Astyanax mexicanus: one gene and its partner. The main gene of each other region encodes a partner of the protein of the gene in region 2 in a complex. Links are inferred from orthologs where the notes say so. Each region holds a gene or a part of one and is shown on either strand. Other genes may lie near its edges.

Region 1 (7,134 bases), on a different chromosome or scaffold from region 2:
CATCTGTGTTTTTTTTTTATTTTTTATTCTGATCCTAATTCTGTCTTGCTGGGGCAGCGTACTCAGGCCATTCATCCGAGAAACTCTCAGTTTTTGGTAATATGCTGCATATTTTGGTAATTTTTTGGCATATATACATATATATATGCCATATATATGCCAAGTGCTTCCCCGTGTGTGTGTGTGTGTGTGTGTGTGTGTGTGTGTATGTGTAGTGTGTGTTTTGTGTTTGTGTGTCTGTAAAACCTGTAACACTGAGATGCTGATGATGGGATAGGAGGGGTATTAAGAGACATGGGCGTGCTCCTGGGGTTTAAAACCCACCTCCTTAATTCAGCTGCATTAGCGCTTCAGTGTCCTCGCTGCCAGCAGTGACGCTTCTCTTAAATGTTAATCGTGTTGTGGCTGAAAGGATTCAGGTTTTGGCTGCTCAAATCTAAATTTCCCTTTAGAGTATTACTTGTAAAATGCTGTAAGATGCTGTACTTCAGCAGTGTTCCATTTTCTTCATAGTGGGCTAGTGTGGCTGCAGGTTTAATTCCAAATAACCAGCAGCTGGTCAGTCTTCACTAGAAAAATCGCATTTTTATCAACATCACAATATGAGTGAATATGATAAACACATTGAAAGAGCTGCAGTAACGCCTTGGGTAATGTGAAACTCAAAATGCATTACCTACATGCAACAGCAGGGGGAGTTCTTAACACAGCAGACTGCGATCATCTGATGTAACCAGACTGGAGGCAGAGCGAGGCTGAGCAAAGTAGAGGACTGCAGCAAACACACACAGACACACACACACACAAAACTAACCCTTATCTGAAGGACAATTTGGTGCTAAACAAGCTTAAATTGAAGCCTGCAGCCATACCAACCCTTTGCAGATAAGATAGGACACCTCAGGAACCTTTTAAAAAGTTTAAATTGATTAAAAATAATCTTAAAAGGTTTTTAACACGTTTATTTTATTTTTTTTTTTGGAATGGAATAATTTTAGTCTCTGATATTCCTCAAAGAACCATCTTAGCCCCTTTTTTATTTGCTTACGATTTTCTCGTAAGCAAATACATGTAATTCAGGAGATGCAACAGACTAATCAAGAAAAAGTACAGTAATTTAAATACAACAAACACAGTTTAGCTTCATTTTTTGGAGAAACAGTTCAGTTGGGTTTGAGCTTCCAGTGGAGTGGTTCGGCAGCACACAGCAGTCCAGGTATCTACGAAATGTATAAAGAAGAATAGAATATTTTTTCATGGAATAACTTTCAGATGCGTTTAGTTTTGTATGGTGAGGGGTCTTGTGAACAGATATCGAGCTTATTTTTTTGAGACGTGCTCCAGACGTCCACGTATGTGTCACATATGTCCCTGTAGGACTGTGGTTGTGGAGGTCGGCTGATCCGTATATATATAAACTGTATTCTGTAATAAATTCTGTGTGGGTGGTTTTTTTTTTTTGTAAACTGTTTATGGATGATATTGCTATGCATCCTGTGTACATCCTGCGTAGACTTGTCTTCATAAAACGCGTCCAGTACAGTGTATTTGGAGTCTCTGGCAACCCGTCTGATTGTTTTGTGAAAATGCAGGGGAAAAAAAATAATAATACATGCATGAATCAGTTTAACAGTCCTGATCTTTCCCTTTATCTCCTTTTTGTCCATTCCTTTCATGTCATTTTTATGGACCGTTTAATCTTTTGAGCTGTAGTGATGAATAATTAATTTCAAAATAATGGAAACACCACCTTTTTAAATGTAAACGAGGCCTATAATTGCATTGAAACAAGGTACAAATAATGCAAGCCATGCATCGAAGCGCTTGGGACAAAACCTTGTATCTCCAGCTGCTCTTTACATCGTGTGATTATCTGTTTGTGATGAATCGTTTGTGACCAATTGTCCAGAATTACTTGAAATTACACCATATTGCTTTAACTTCCATGTTGAGTCACATTTTTCTTATTTTTCTTGAAATAAAGGTTAATTTTGGAGATAGAAGGTTTTGTTCTGACAGCACTGCTGATATACTAATTCAGATGTCATGCATTAGTAGAACTATGAAATGCTTCTATTTAAAGCTCTTTTCTGATTGGAGAGTTTCTACCAGTAATACTGAATGATAGAGACTGGAAATTTAAGTAGATGTTGACAGCATTTACCAGCAGCTCTAAATGGATGGAGGTAATGGATGTCCCAGAATAGATCTTTAGAATAAATCTTTTTTTTTATGTTCTATTTAATGGAATAAACTCCCATTAAAATAATGTCTAGCTCATGTTTTAGGCCTCCTTTATAAAGGTGTTTAACATTGTTGGCACATACTACAGTAAAGGGCCAATTACACTCAGTTTTATTACTCCAGCGTTTGCAGGGATTCTGAAATGTTCCTTGACATGTTTTGTGTTTTTTCATTCATATATTTTTTCTATCTTTTTGTGTTTTATGTTCAGCATTGTGCCAAATGTTTCAGTGATGTTTAAACAGTTCATCAAGATTTTAAGTGTGTGACCTATCAACACTTCAGCTCAGTCTTTTGGAACATCCCATCACTTCACATTATTGTTCTGTTTTTTGGTTGACTCATGATAAACAAATAAACTGGCTAGGGTAACAGCAAACTGGTTAGGAAATGTGTGTTCTGTATTTTTTTTGTTCTACCAGTGGTCTTAAACAAAAACTCAGTCTATTGAAATGTCTTCAGATGGCAGTAATATTAAGTTCCTAGTCAGATTTTTGTGCAGTGTAATTATGCAACACAAGGATGAAACATTTTTGCACTTGATACAAAATTCTTCAGGCCAAAACTGTAAGATCTTGAAAATACTGAAAGCAAAAATAATAATAAAAAGTAGCTGTGATTTATTGCCGTTTTTTCGTTGATGCAGCTTTTTAACATTCTCATTCCAAAAAAAAATTGAACATGATTTTATATTCTTGTGCCATCTCTACCTGTATATTCCTGTCTGCATCAGCTGGTGGTGTTGTTTCATCCTAATGTAGGCTTCTGATTATTAAGTGGCTCATGTATGTAGTTATTTTTTTTTATAATTATGGCAATAAAAGCATTTTAAAGTCTGTTATGTGTTTGTTGTGTTTGAAATGTTATGGTGATTGACTTCCCATATGCTTTATAAAGGGCAGTTTCTAATTAGAGGTGTCTGGTCAAAATAAATCCATTTATTATAAAAAACCTCCAACACAAATATGTAGTGTTATTTGTATTAAGCCTATATGGAAATTAATTATAAGTTTAGTTACACTGTTGGGTCAGGCCTTCCACAATTGCTATATTATTGTATTACTGTACTTTTTTTTAATTTGATCACTAAATATTTACTAATTTTTTTCTTTTTGTTGAGATAGAAAATTCAAGGTTATTTTATTTTAGAAATGTCAAATCTAGGTAACATTAGTAGTCAATAGAAGCCCATTCCCACCACCTAAAAATCCATCACGTATATTTTTTTCTTATGACTTTGAGATAGTAAGTCAACATCTTCAAATAACCACTTATCTCAAAATGACTTAGTATTTCAAAATAACGAATTAGTATATCAAAATAACTACTTAGTATCTCTGAATAACGCCTCAGTATCTCAGAATAACGACTCGGCCTCTCAAAATAAAAACTTAGTATCGCAGAATAAAGATAATTATTTAATATCTCCTAATAATGAGATTTTTTAGCAATCTATTTTGTTTTTGTTATTTACTGTATTTACGTTTTATTAGTTTGCAGTTTATATGCATGAATATGTTGCACTATTTTTGTTGTTATTTTTGATATTACATTATTTTATTACATTAGTTATTTTGTCACACTATAATTTTTACAAAATCAAATTAATTAATGAAATTAATTTCAGTAGAAAAAAAGCCTATAAAGGTACAAACGTTTTGCAATATCGTCAAGAATATCGCTATCGCAAAAAAAAACCTTTCGCGATATTATTTTAGGGCCATATCGCCCACTCCTAAATCCTATACTATTTCTTTCGTTTCTTTTTTTTTTCATTTTGTTTTTAAACACGCTCAGAATTAGTCGCTTAAGGACTTTTATTTTGATATGGCTGTACAGCGCACAAAAACAGCAGGCCTGATACAGACTTTTATTTTGTAGAGTTTCCGGTAATGGTCGCAGTCTCGCTGCTGTTGTGTTGAGACGCAGATAAACACAGCGGGAGGATTCGGGCTGAAATATCGAGTTTTATTGGGTATTAAATCTGCAGATTTTACTATTTTAACCACAGAGAGAGTTTAAAACCCGTTTAAAACGCTCTCGCTGTGTTTAAGGCGGTTCCGGGGCTGTTTTAAAGCGCTATTAGGAGCTGGTAGCAGGTAGCGGGAGCTGTCCGGGTCTCTGCCCGACATGAACGTCGACACCCCCCAGCCCGTCTCCAGCGGAGCGGCGGCGAACTCCTCCGCATCCGGAGGCAGCAGCAGCAGCAACTGCCTCCCCAACAGCAACTCCACAGCGAACAGCGGCGGCAGCGGCATCCCCTCCGCGTCCGGCGGGAACGGTGAGTGGATCACCAGCGTTAACCAGCCCGGGTTAACCGCGCTCTAATACAGCGGCGGCCAGTCCAGGCCGGGGACCCAGTAATCAACCCCGGGGTTTTTACTTTCCCCGGCGGCTCTGCTGCGTCTTATAATAAAGTTTTTCTTGGCTAGAAAAAAAAAATATTTAGATAGAGGTTTAAGTAGGCTTGGAAACGTTTGTTTGTAACATGGGAAAAAAAATCTAACTTAACAACAACAAAAAAACTAAAACCATTAATTTCACTGCCACCTTAACTTCATGAATAGTATTATTTATAAATTTATAAATAGTGGTAGTTCTTTAACTCGTAAATAGGCCTGTCACAATAATTACATTATCGACATGTTCAATAATTGAACATAAGCTCAATTATTTTAATAATCGTGATCCATTGTGTTGTCTTCCATTGTGTTTGCACTTACAAGAGACACTTACATATATTGTGACTGTGGGCGTAATCTAAAAACATACTTTTTATTAGGAAAAATGAAAAAATCAACACCCAAAACAAACATACTTACGGTCCAGTGCGGCTCTAGTCAATTAACTTCAGTGTCTCTTAGGTTTGTGTTGCCTCAGCCTTCCTCTCACCGTCAGAGTATCTCTCGTGTGAAAGCTGAGGCTTTGTGCTGGTCCAACGTGGGCCAGCTGGGACAGACCGGGGCTACACATCATGGTGTATATTTACATATATCATTTATGACTATAATCTACTTTGGGAACTTTTTGGGTTCCAAAATTAGGTCTGTCAACAGAAATGTAAAGTTTATTGTCTTTAAAAGGGTGCAATTCCTTTGATATGATATTATGTTATCATTATATTAGTGCCATTTAATGGTCTTAAAATGCCAAAAATAGAATTTATAGCAATAATTTCTGGGACAACATATTGTTTGCAAAAAAATATTATTGTGACAGGCCTATTTGTAAATAGAGAAAATTCCTAAATTCATAAAAATATAGAGGGTTCTTACATTTATCTAACAACTTTCAAATTATGTTAAAAGTCATTATACATCCACATACGTCTAGTGTATTCAGGTAAATAGCCTCAGCAGCAGTGGGAGCAGTTAGAAGATTCCTACCTGGAGTTCATGTAAACTTCTATGTAATCTGTAGTGGAGAGTGAGCAACTAGTCAGAGGCTGTTGGCATAAAGTGGATGGTGAGCAGCTGATCTGTTGTGGGTGACTGGAAAACCTGGCATCCGGAGACTTCCATCAGTCTGGTCGGACAGGTAACAGAAGAACCTGATGGTCAAATATCCATCATTGTCGGGCCAGACAGGTGGGCAGTAAATAAGTCAAGGGAAGCTAAATGACGGAATTAATTCTGACTGGATTTATGGAAAAGAGACAAAATGCAACATTATCAGAGTGTGGGTAATGACTCCAGCAGCTCTTAATATAACAGCCCACTAAATTGATTTTAGACATCTTATTTACGTAAACCAATCTTTTGTTTTAAAGTGCTGGTGTTAATATAAATGCATATTAAATGTGTATGTTTAAATCAGGAGACAGTGTCTGAATACATTGGTATCTGGTTCCAGTAAGTTTATGTATTCTGCCCCAATGATTTCAGTATCATTGGCAAAAACTTTCTACAAGGACTAACTATGTGTGTTCACACCTTTAGGTTCAGGTTAGAGTAGCTCAACCTACTGTGTTTATTTGAGACATCTTTATACTTGCATATATATGCAATTAAATGTCATTCTTTCTCTTTCTTTAAACAGTGCCGACCTCAGCTGCAATGGCAACACCATCCTCAGACTCTTCGGTCTCCAACGGACTCTACGTGCCCACAGGAATAGCCAATGGAGACGTGAAGCCCGTAGTATCAACCACACCACTGGCTGATTTCCTGATGCAGCTGGAAGATTACACTCCTACAGTGAGTTACACAATTTTACACTTGTGTTCCATAACAGCTATTGTATCTTGGGACCTGTGTTGACCTGAAATTAACAGATTATTTAAATTTAGAGAGCATCTAGATATACTTTGAATGGATTTTGTTAACACATCCATTTAAATGCATCTGTAAAATCTATACGCAATCCGATCACCAGAAACACATGTTAATGTTGGGTGTTCCCAGACTCTTACGTAATTTACGGTTATGTGTTTAATTGAATAAATCTCTTTTCCATTAGATTCCAGATGCTGTTACCGGTTATTATCTCAACCGGGCTGGCTTTGAAGCATCAGATCCGAGAATGTAAGTGTCATTTTTTTGTACTCTGTATAAATAAGTTGATTGTTAAACTTGTTTTAGAGAGTAATTTTGTGAAACATTATGGCACAATTTCTTAGTCAGGGATTAGGCCTAGTCATAGACTACACTGTACTTGTCCATTAAAAGGAGAATATAGTCTAGTCTAGGCTAGGCTTAATCCTGGTCCAGGTAATTGTCTCACAGGGTCGGGGCTCAGAAGAAGATTAGGCCTAGTTTTGGAATGCATTTCCTGACTATATAGCATTTCCTGTTAAAATCCTATATAGTCGAAGACTGGGTTTAATTTCTACATGGCTTCAGACTAACTCCATTCCATCATACAGAGCAAATAGAAAAATAGCATCTCCCA
Region 2 (7,921 bases):
GAGGACAGAAGTACAGGCTTCTTGTGGAGATGAGCCCTTGAAAGGAAGAATGAAAAACGGAAACTGTACAGAAACCTCAGCTATTGTGTGCATTTTACACCCTGCTCATTGTTAAGTCAAAACGCCAAAACCATTCATTTACTACTGACCTCAAAGTCTCTACAATACAAAGGTACATTTCTGTTTATGTATATGACAAGTTAAAAAAAAAATCACAGAGAAGACTAAGTACTAAGAGAACAGATCTAAAATCCAAGTAGTTGTCATACTGTAAAAAAATATTGATATCCTAAATAAAATCTTGAAATATCATGATTATATTAAGGCCAAATTGCCCACTTTTACTTAATAATAAATACAGATAAACATACCTGTCTCATTAGCTGTACGACGTGAAAGCTAGGACAGTAGCACATGATTTTGTCCCCATCACCTGTAGCTAACAGAAATAACACCCACAAAATATCAACAGGTCACTAACATCACTTATAACATGTTATAAAGTTCATATGCCTGTATACAGCTTCACCAAAGACTTTAGGCTTTACATAAATCTTTTCAGTGACTAACAGCAAAGTTATTCTTCCTTTAAGGAAACAAACAGAAAATACCAACCTGCTGCAGCACCAACCTAAAACACAGGAAGCAGAATTATATACACATTTCCTCAAGTCTAAAATAGTTATGAAATTTTATGTAAACTTTACAGGAAACTGAATGGAAATTATGTCCTGAAACAGACTGAACTGTCCTGAATGCAGGTTTGTGCACCAGCATAGCAGGGTTATGATAAAGAGCTTACGGTATGGTCAGCATAAAGGCCACTGCCAGGAAGTGGAGAGTCCCCCACTCTCCCTGGAGCTTTGAAGGGTGCTCCTGATGTGGAAACCCCTGTAGTGTAAGCAATAACAAATCAAAAGTGTTATAGGCTTATTAATGTGTTAATATAATGTAGTTTTCTTTGCATGTAAAGATACTGTTTACAATTTGTGTACATTTTTAATTAGAAAATACATTAAATAAAGGATTAAACAAAGAAGTATTTTAAGATCAATCCTAATTTATTTTAACAGTCTTTAGTGAACCCTTCCTTTACTGACATCAAATATGTTAAGTAAGTCATTTACATTAAACCTTAAAATTTATAATTTTACAATTCTTACAAATCATTATTTTGTATGACCTACTTCATATTATAAGCTCTCTAAACAAACAGAGTAATGCAGCCTATTTAAAGCAGCACTGAAAATGGGCATTTCTTGCTCCTGGGCTCCCAGTGTAACTGGAGCTTTGAGCCAACACTAGAGGACACATTTTTCTGGACACGCTGAGAGATACAGAACCATGACAGAAATTTTACACAAATGTGATTTGGGTTACAGATTGTTTAGATATCCCATTGGCAGTGTGCTAAGCCATGTGCTAAGTAGCAATGATGGAGACAAATTTCTACTTATTTCATGTCAGTGGAGCATTGTAAGATTTTAAAGCTATTTATTAGTAAAATGCTACATAATGTTGCTTTACACTGCAGAAACAAACACATCAAAATGAAAGAAAGTCTTCCTCACCAACAGTAATGTTTCCTGAAAGATCCAGAGCAATGAGGCCTTGCCATTAAAAAAAACACAAGATAAATGCCTTTATCTTACATGACTCTTATAGATTTAATATATCATCATAACTCTTTTCTACTTTCAGTTTTGTGTATCAAAATGAATGTAAAACCTATTGTAATCCAGTTTGCAGTTTAGGCGTACTCAGGAAATAATCTATCAAAAGTTGTTTGAACTTCTGACAGGAATGAGTGTAGTTATAAAGTAACCAGGCCTTGGACAGATATCTAACTATTTAGACCCAAAAGGATTGGGTAGTAAGTATTACAGTTATTTTAAAAATGATGATATTTGCAGTGTTATGTCAGTGATGTACATTCTATTGGCCTGAGTACTGTAAAAAGACTGAAACTGCTTTCTTTGTGTACCTCACAATTCTACATTTATTCAAAAGAGAGAGATAAGACACTAGCTCAAGTTAATGCTTACCTATAGTATCGTGACCACTAGCATGCTGACCATTTTCAAGGAATTCCTTTTAATGGAATTTAACAAAAAGTTACTGTAAGTTACACTGTTTGTGTGGTGATACCGAAATAAAATGATGTGTAAAAAACTGACACTCAGTGTGAGTACCTGATATGCAGTGAGTGTATGGCTAGAGAGCATACTGTCGTTGGTTTCAATGGTAAAGCCCTGTTCCTGTGCAAACGCTTCAGCTCCTTCACCAACTAGCAAACTGTGAGGACTTCTGTCCATTACTCTTCGTGCCACCCGGCATGGCTGCCCTACTCTGATAACATAAAACATTTAAAATTAAGATTTAGGTTTACTATAATACAACTAAAAAAAAGTATAACAAATAAAACAATTAGCACATCATATAGTGCATTCCATAGTGCATTACAATCACATAACTATTACCCTTTGAATAATCTATACCAGTTAATGCCATTAATGTACCACTAAATACTGCAATATGATATTTTATTACATAAAGCCATTTCACAGTTTAAAATAACATTATCAACATCACCCTTTACCCTCGCAATGCAGCTACTGCCCCAAATCTCCCTGGCACACCTTCCATTATTGCTGCATCACACTCCACTATCCCCCGGCTGTTGGGGAAGCCTCCTCTTCCGACTATGTGACGACCCGTCTCCACATCATTCTCAACATCTGCAAAAAAGTATTGTACACTCCCGGTAAATAGAGTTTCAACAAAGCTTTACTGTTTACTGCTATTCTATTTCTTAACCTCTCACTATATTTCATAAAACAAGTAAAAGAAAAATAAAGAATAAGGCTCCAAAAGGCCAATATAAAAACTTTAAATATAAAGACTTTATAGTCTTTTTTCAGATTGGCTGACCTTAATTTCTTAAAGTTATTTTTTTACTTAGTTGAGTAGTTCTTGCCATATTATGGATTAGAATACTCAAATAGGGCTGTTCTTTACTGTATACCAACTCTACCTTTACATCTTTACAACTGGTGCTCTCAAAAACATTAAGATGGCAAGAATTCCAAGTAATCAACTCAACTGAGAAGGCACAGCTGTTACCTGAAAGCCATTTCAGGTGACTCTACCAAATAAAGCTGACTGAGAAAATGCCAACATGTGCAAAGCTGCCAAATAAGCAAGATGTGCTACTTTGAAGAATCTAAAATATAAAACATATTCTGGTTGGTTTAACACTTTTTTGTGAACTTGTTTTATTTGCATTATTTGAGAACTGAAAGCTCTGCATCTTTTTTGTTATTTCATCCATTTCTAATTTTCTGCAAATAATGCTCTAAATGACAATATTTTTATTTGGAATTTAGAAGAAATGTTGTCCGTAGTTTATAGAATAAAACAATAATGGTTATTTTACTGAAACATATACCTATAAATAGCAAAATAAGAGAGATGATTCAGAAACTGAAGTGGTCTCTTATTTTTTTTTTTCCAGAGCTGTATAACATATCTATAACACAACTGTTTATTCATTGCTTAGAGGAGAAAGTGTTTTAAAACTCATTTTCTAGTGAAAGCACAGTTTTAATGTAGAGGGTTTAATGGTGGTTACCTGCAGCTGCTCTCTCTACTACATCAGTGGCGTTCTGTCCGTCTAGAATCATAGAGCGCATTTTCTCTACAGCGGGCTGAGAGAAGGACCAGGTCCCCATTGCTGCCATCCTGCGGGTCACTGTCAACCCCTGATCAGACTTCACCTCCACAGCAGATGAACGAGCCGTCAGTGAGGAGTTTTAAAATACCTGGTTGATATTTTGAAGTATTACCAGAGAACTTCAATAGAGGAGAATACCCACTTAATCCACAATAACAATCATACATGAGTTTGTTAGACCACATGAGGGCGCTCACAAATGAGCCCAAAATGAATGGCTCCATGGAGTAAATGAGCAAAACCATAGTTAATAAACGTTTGATCACTTTAATACGGAAAACTGTATTATTATTCTCAACACGGAACAATTTAAAATGTTTTAAATACCGAAAAAATGGCTTTAAAGCTTTTAAATATATTTACCATTCAGCTCACAGTGGTAGAAATGCCAGCGTCTCTATTATCTAAACATTTTTTGCTATAGACAAATGGTAATATTTCTTTACTAACGTTTTCTTTACTTTTTTCTTTATTTTTTAGTAATATACTTCATTCTAAGTTCTTAGTTAAGTTCACCCCAACTCACTCGCGGGGTCCTCTAGCGGTTCACAGTAATTTTCTGACATAACGTGGGCGATAGAAACTAAGCAGTCTCGGCATAAACTATCTATCTCTGGTAGTACCGCGTTAGGGAGTTAAGAATCGAGAATTTCAAAATAAAAACTTAATAAAGTCTTAACTAACAAATAAAATCTTTAAAAAATTAATTCGTGTTTTTTTTATTTATTTATCAATATTTTTTTAGAACTCATAAGTAATAAATTACATGTATAGTGATCGATAGAGAGTCGTTCATATTTTAATATTCATGTAAATCTTTGGAGGTTTAAAAAAAAAAACAAGTGAAACTTAACTAAAAATCTTCGTTTTTTTAAACTTCATATTTTATTTTTATTATTGATATTGTTATTATTATTATTCGTATGAGTCGTTTATATTATATGTAATATATATATATATATATATATATATATATATATATATATATATATATATATATATATATATATATATATATATATATTTATAGGCAGTTTTGGGCAGTTAAATTGTCGATTAGAGTAGTTTATATTTTATTTATATTATATATGTTTATTTTTTAGGAGGGGATATATATATTTTTGGGAGTTAAATGGTCGATTAGAGTCGTTTATATCATATTTATATTATGCATTATATATTATTTTTGGGAGGGTGGAGGTTAGTGCTCGTATTATATAAAGCAGCGGAAGTGGTTTGGTAAAGCTGGCGGAACTTGCTGTGAAGTCCCGTGTTTTGCGCGCACCCGGAGACACAGAGAGAGGGGAGGTAAAATCAGACGCGGGTTTAATCTGATTTCTGAGTGTTTTAATGATTAACGGGTGTATTGTAATATTCAGGGTCTCCGGCTGCCCCTTCTGCCGTGCTGATACTGTAGCGGCTGGTTGTTCCAGTGCGGGGGTTAGTGTTGGAGCGACGACAGGCTACAGTTAGCACAGTGAGCTAACCAGCGGTTTCTGCAACCTGGACCCAGCCGAGCCTCCGCTTTATCTAACCGGGGCTGCCTGGAGTCTAACGCGCTGTCCAGCTGCAGTTTGGGCTGCGTGATTAGTGTAGTCTGCGGGTTTATATCGCTGAGTGGTTAATTAATATATGAGCTTTAACTCTGGTTAAAATCAGTAGCTGTATATCCGAACAGCGCCATTCATTCACTGTGACCTGATTTCTGTTCAACAACGCTTCTTACAGGAAAAAAATTCGCTCTTTCTCATTTGCTTTTCATAATTAGCGTTAAATGAATTACACTTAAATTCTGCGAGCTTTAATTCGCTTGTATGTTCATTTAATAAGAAAAAAATAGCTATTGGTTTTGATACGTTTGCAGGTTATTGTAGCTAGTGTGTTTACATTAGCTAAATTATCTAAACATAATTACAGAAATATACGAGCCTCAAGCGTCTCTATTCGTAATATTTTAGCAATAGGAGAAACAATCCAGTTACACACATCTAGCAATAATGAAGTTTTTAACCAGTAGACATAGTAATTCAAGATATCTACACTGAAACTTGCTGATGTGATTTTTAAGACTAAAACAGCTCCCCATACCAAAATAAATGTATTTTTGGATATGATGGAAGGTCCAGTTGTTAGTTGTGGTTGCCTGTCTCTCTCTGCCTCTCTATCTCTCTCGCTCTCTTCACGGGGCTGTGAGATTGTGAGGATGAGTGAGTGTTATTGTGGTAATGTTTGCACTTAGCGGGAGAGTCTGAAAGGAGCTCATTGGTACTCTGTAAACTTCCTGAAACCCACATGAATTTTCTCTGATCTGACACACATTGAATGGATGTGCTTTTAAACAAAGTTGTCTGTTATTTACATTCATTACTCGGGTAGACGTATAGATACTAGGGATACTAGAGAAATATAAACTTGAAGTATCTGTGCCACAGAGTCCTATAGTGCACTACCCCCTCAAACAAATTTATCTATAAAGCAATAATGACTCGTATTAAAATGTTAATGTTGACAAATATGGGATGCATTAGACTGCCTGTTTCATCCACATATATGTCAATTGAAAAAATGAATGCCTTTTAGTATTAAGCTAATATAATAAAGGAGCTTAGGTGGAACATTGTGAGAGCTTGAGTTCTTGCTGGAGTATGACTTGATGTGCAGGTGTGATGGATTGTAAAAAAACAGGATTTCGGAATGTTATGCATGTACTTCTCATCCAGCCACAATCAAATTTACTCTATCCACATGGAGGAATTTACATGGATAGGGTTTTTTGAAAGATGAGAAGCTGAAATAAAAAGCTGAAACTAAGTAGAAGTAATGTTTTTTTTTTTTAATGAAATTGAGAGAGAAAAAAACATACAAAACCACAATGTAAAGGTATTTATTGAAGACAGAACATTTGTAACATCATAGCAAACATACCAACTAAACTCAATATGGTTTGGTATTTATTTGGAAGAAATTATTGGTATATAAAATTCCATTCAGATGCTGCTGGGCACGAGCATTACCATCTACTGTGCTGTTTTCTTTGGGTGAAAATGCCTTCTACGGTGTGTTCCCAGTACACGTGCTGATGTGGATCGAAGAATGTTAAATACCATTACAACGTCATAAATAAAATGTCCCATCCACCTGGCACTAACTATCAGGCCCAGCTTGAACTCTGATAATTATTGTTGCCTTGCCATGTGCATGCTGTGATGCTTTACATTTAATATTTGACTGTGCTGCTTGATCTACTGTCTTCTAACTGCTTTTCTTTTCTTTTTTTGTATAACAGAAAGCTGGACATCTGAACACCATCTCTGCTCACACCTCTGTCTAGATTGTTAATCTGCTGCTGGGTTCATAACTGGACAGCATGGAGCAGAACAACAGCTTGCCCCCGTTTCCACAAAGCCTGTCGTCTCCACAGGTGAACAGATTGCTAACACAGATACCCAGTCTCTGCTCTTGCAGACTTTAGTCTCATAAATAATTCAGAATGAATCACTCTAGTTTTACACACATTGTGGGTCATGTATGGTAGAAAATGTACCTGTTAAGAACTTTTATGAATGTTTTATTAACCCCTTCAAAATGTGAAACTATGCCTTTAAGTTGTGGACTTATAATATTGACTATTTTTTTAACCTTAATGCACAAATTATGTAATTTATATTGCCATCCTCGTAGACATGAGTCATGCAAAAAGTGCCAATTTGAGTTTAGCATTAAAATGTAACTAGTGTAAACACTGGCTTCATCATTCTGAACAAGTCATGCTTTATTATTGATTTCTGTTCATCTGCAGGGTGCTATGACGCCTGGCATGCCCATCTTTAGCCCAATGATGCCGTATGGCACTGGGCTTACACCACAACCAGTGCAGAACACCAACAGTCTGTCACTTCTAGAGGAGCAGCAGATGCAGCAACAACAGCAGCAGCAGCAACAGGCTTCTCAACAGCAGGGTGGAATTGTGGGTACATCAGGCCAGACACCCCAACTTTACCACTCGCAAGCAGTTTCAACCACCACAGTACTACCAGGCAACACCCCACTGTATACCACCACCCCTTTAACCCCCATGACGCCCATTACACCTGCCACACCAGCCTCTGAGAGTTCTGGCATTGTCCCCCAACTACAGTGAGTTCTGTTGTATCACTGATTGATATAGAGATAATGTGCAATGATTTA

Evidence for each region. The genes of interacting proteins can lie anywhere in the genome.
Region 1: TATA-box-binding protein (region 2) and taf10 share a complex: the UniProt entries of both Homo sapiens proteins name them as parts of the TFIID basal transcription factor complex. The link is inferred for Astyanax mexicanus from reciprocal best matches to the Homo sapiens genes TBP and TAF10.

What each region holds. Positions count from the first base shown.
Region 1 is NC_064419.1:42,554,209-42,561,342, reverse strand, and holds the start of taf10 (transcription initiation factor TFIID subunit 10), read left to right. Parts: upstream 1-4,123; 5' UTR 4,124-4,374; coding exon 4,375-4,525; exon of another isoform or gene 4,526-4,672; intron 4,673-5,630; exon of another isoform or gene 5,631-5,794; intron 5,795-6,282; coding exon 6,283-6,440; intron 6,441-6,702; coding exon 6,703-6,767; intron 6,768-7,134. UniProt on the Homo sapiens protein: The TFIID basal transcription factor complex plays a major role in the initiation of RNA polymerase II (Pol II)-dependent transcription.
Region 2 is NC_064414.1:38,658,865-38,666,785, forward strand, and holds the start of TATA-box-binding protein, read left to right. Parts: upstream 1-4,891; 5' UTR 4,892-5,041; intron 5,042-7,019; 5' UTR 7,020-7,100; coding exon 7,101-7,154; intron 7,155-7,532; coding exon 7,533-7,870; intron 7,871-7,921. Other genes in the region: zgc:153169 (N(4)-(Beta-N-acetylglucosaminyl)-L-asparaginase), read right to left, coding at 1-36, 372-439, 616-631, 803-891, 1,572-1,610, 2,046-2,091, 2,193-2,349, 2,600-2,738 and 1 more. UniProt on the Homo sapiens protein: The TFIID basal transcription factor complex plays a major role in the initiation of RNA polymerase II (Pol II)-dependent transcription.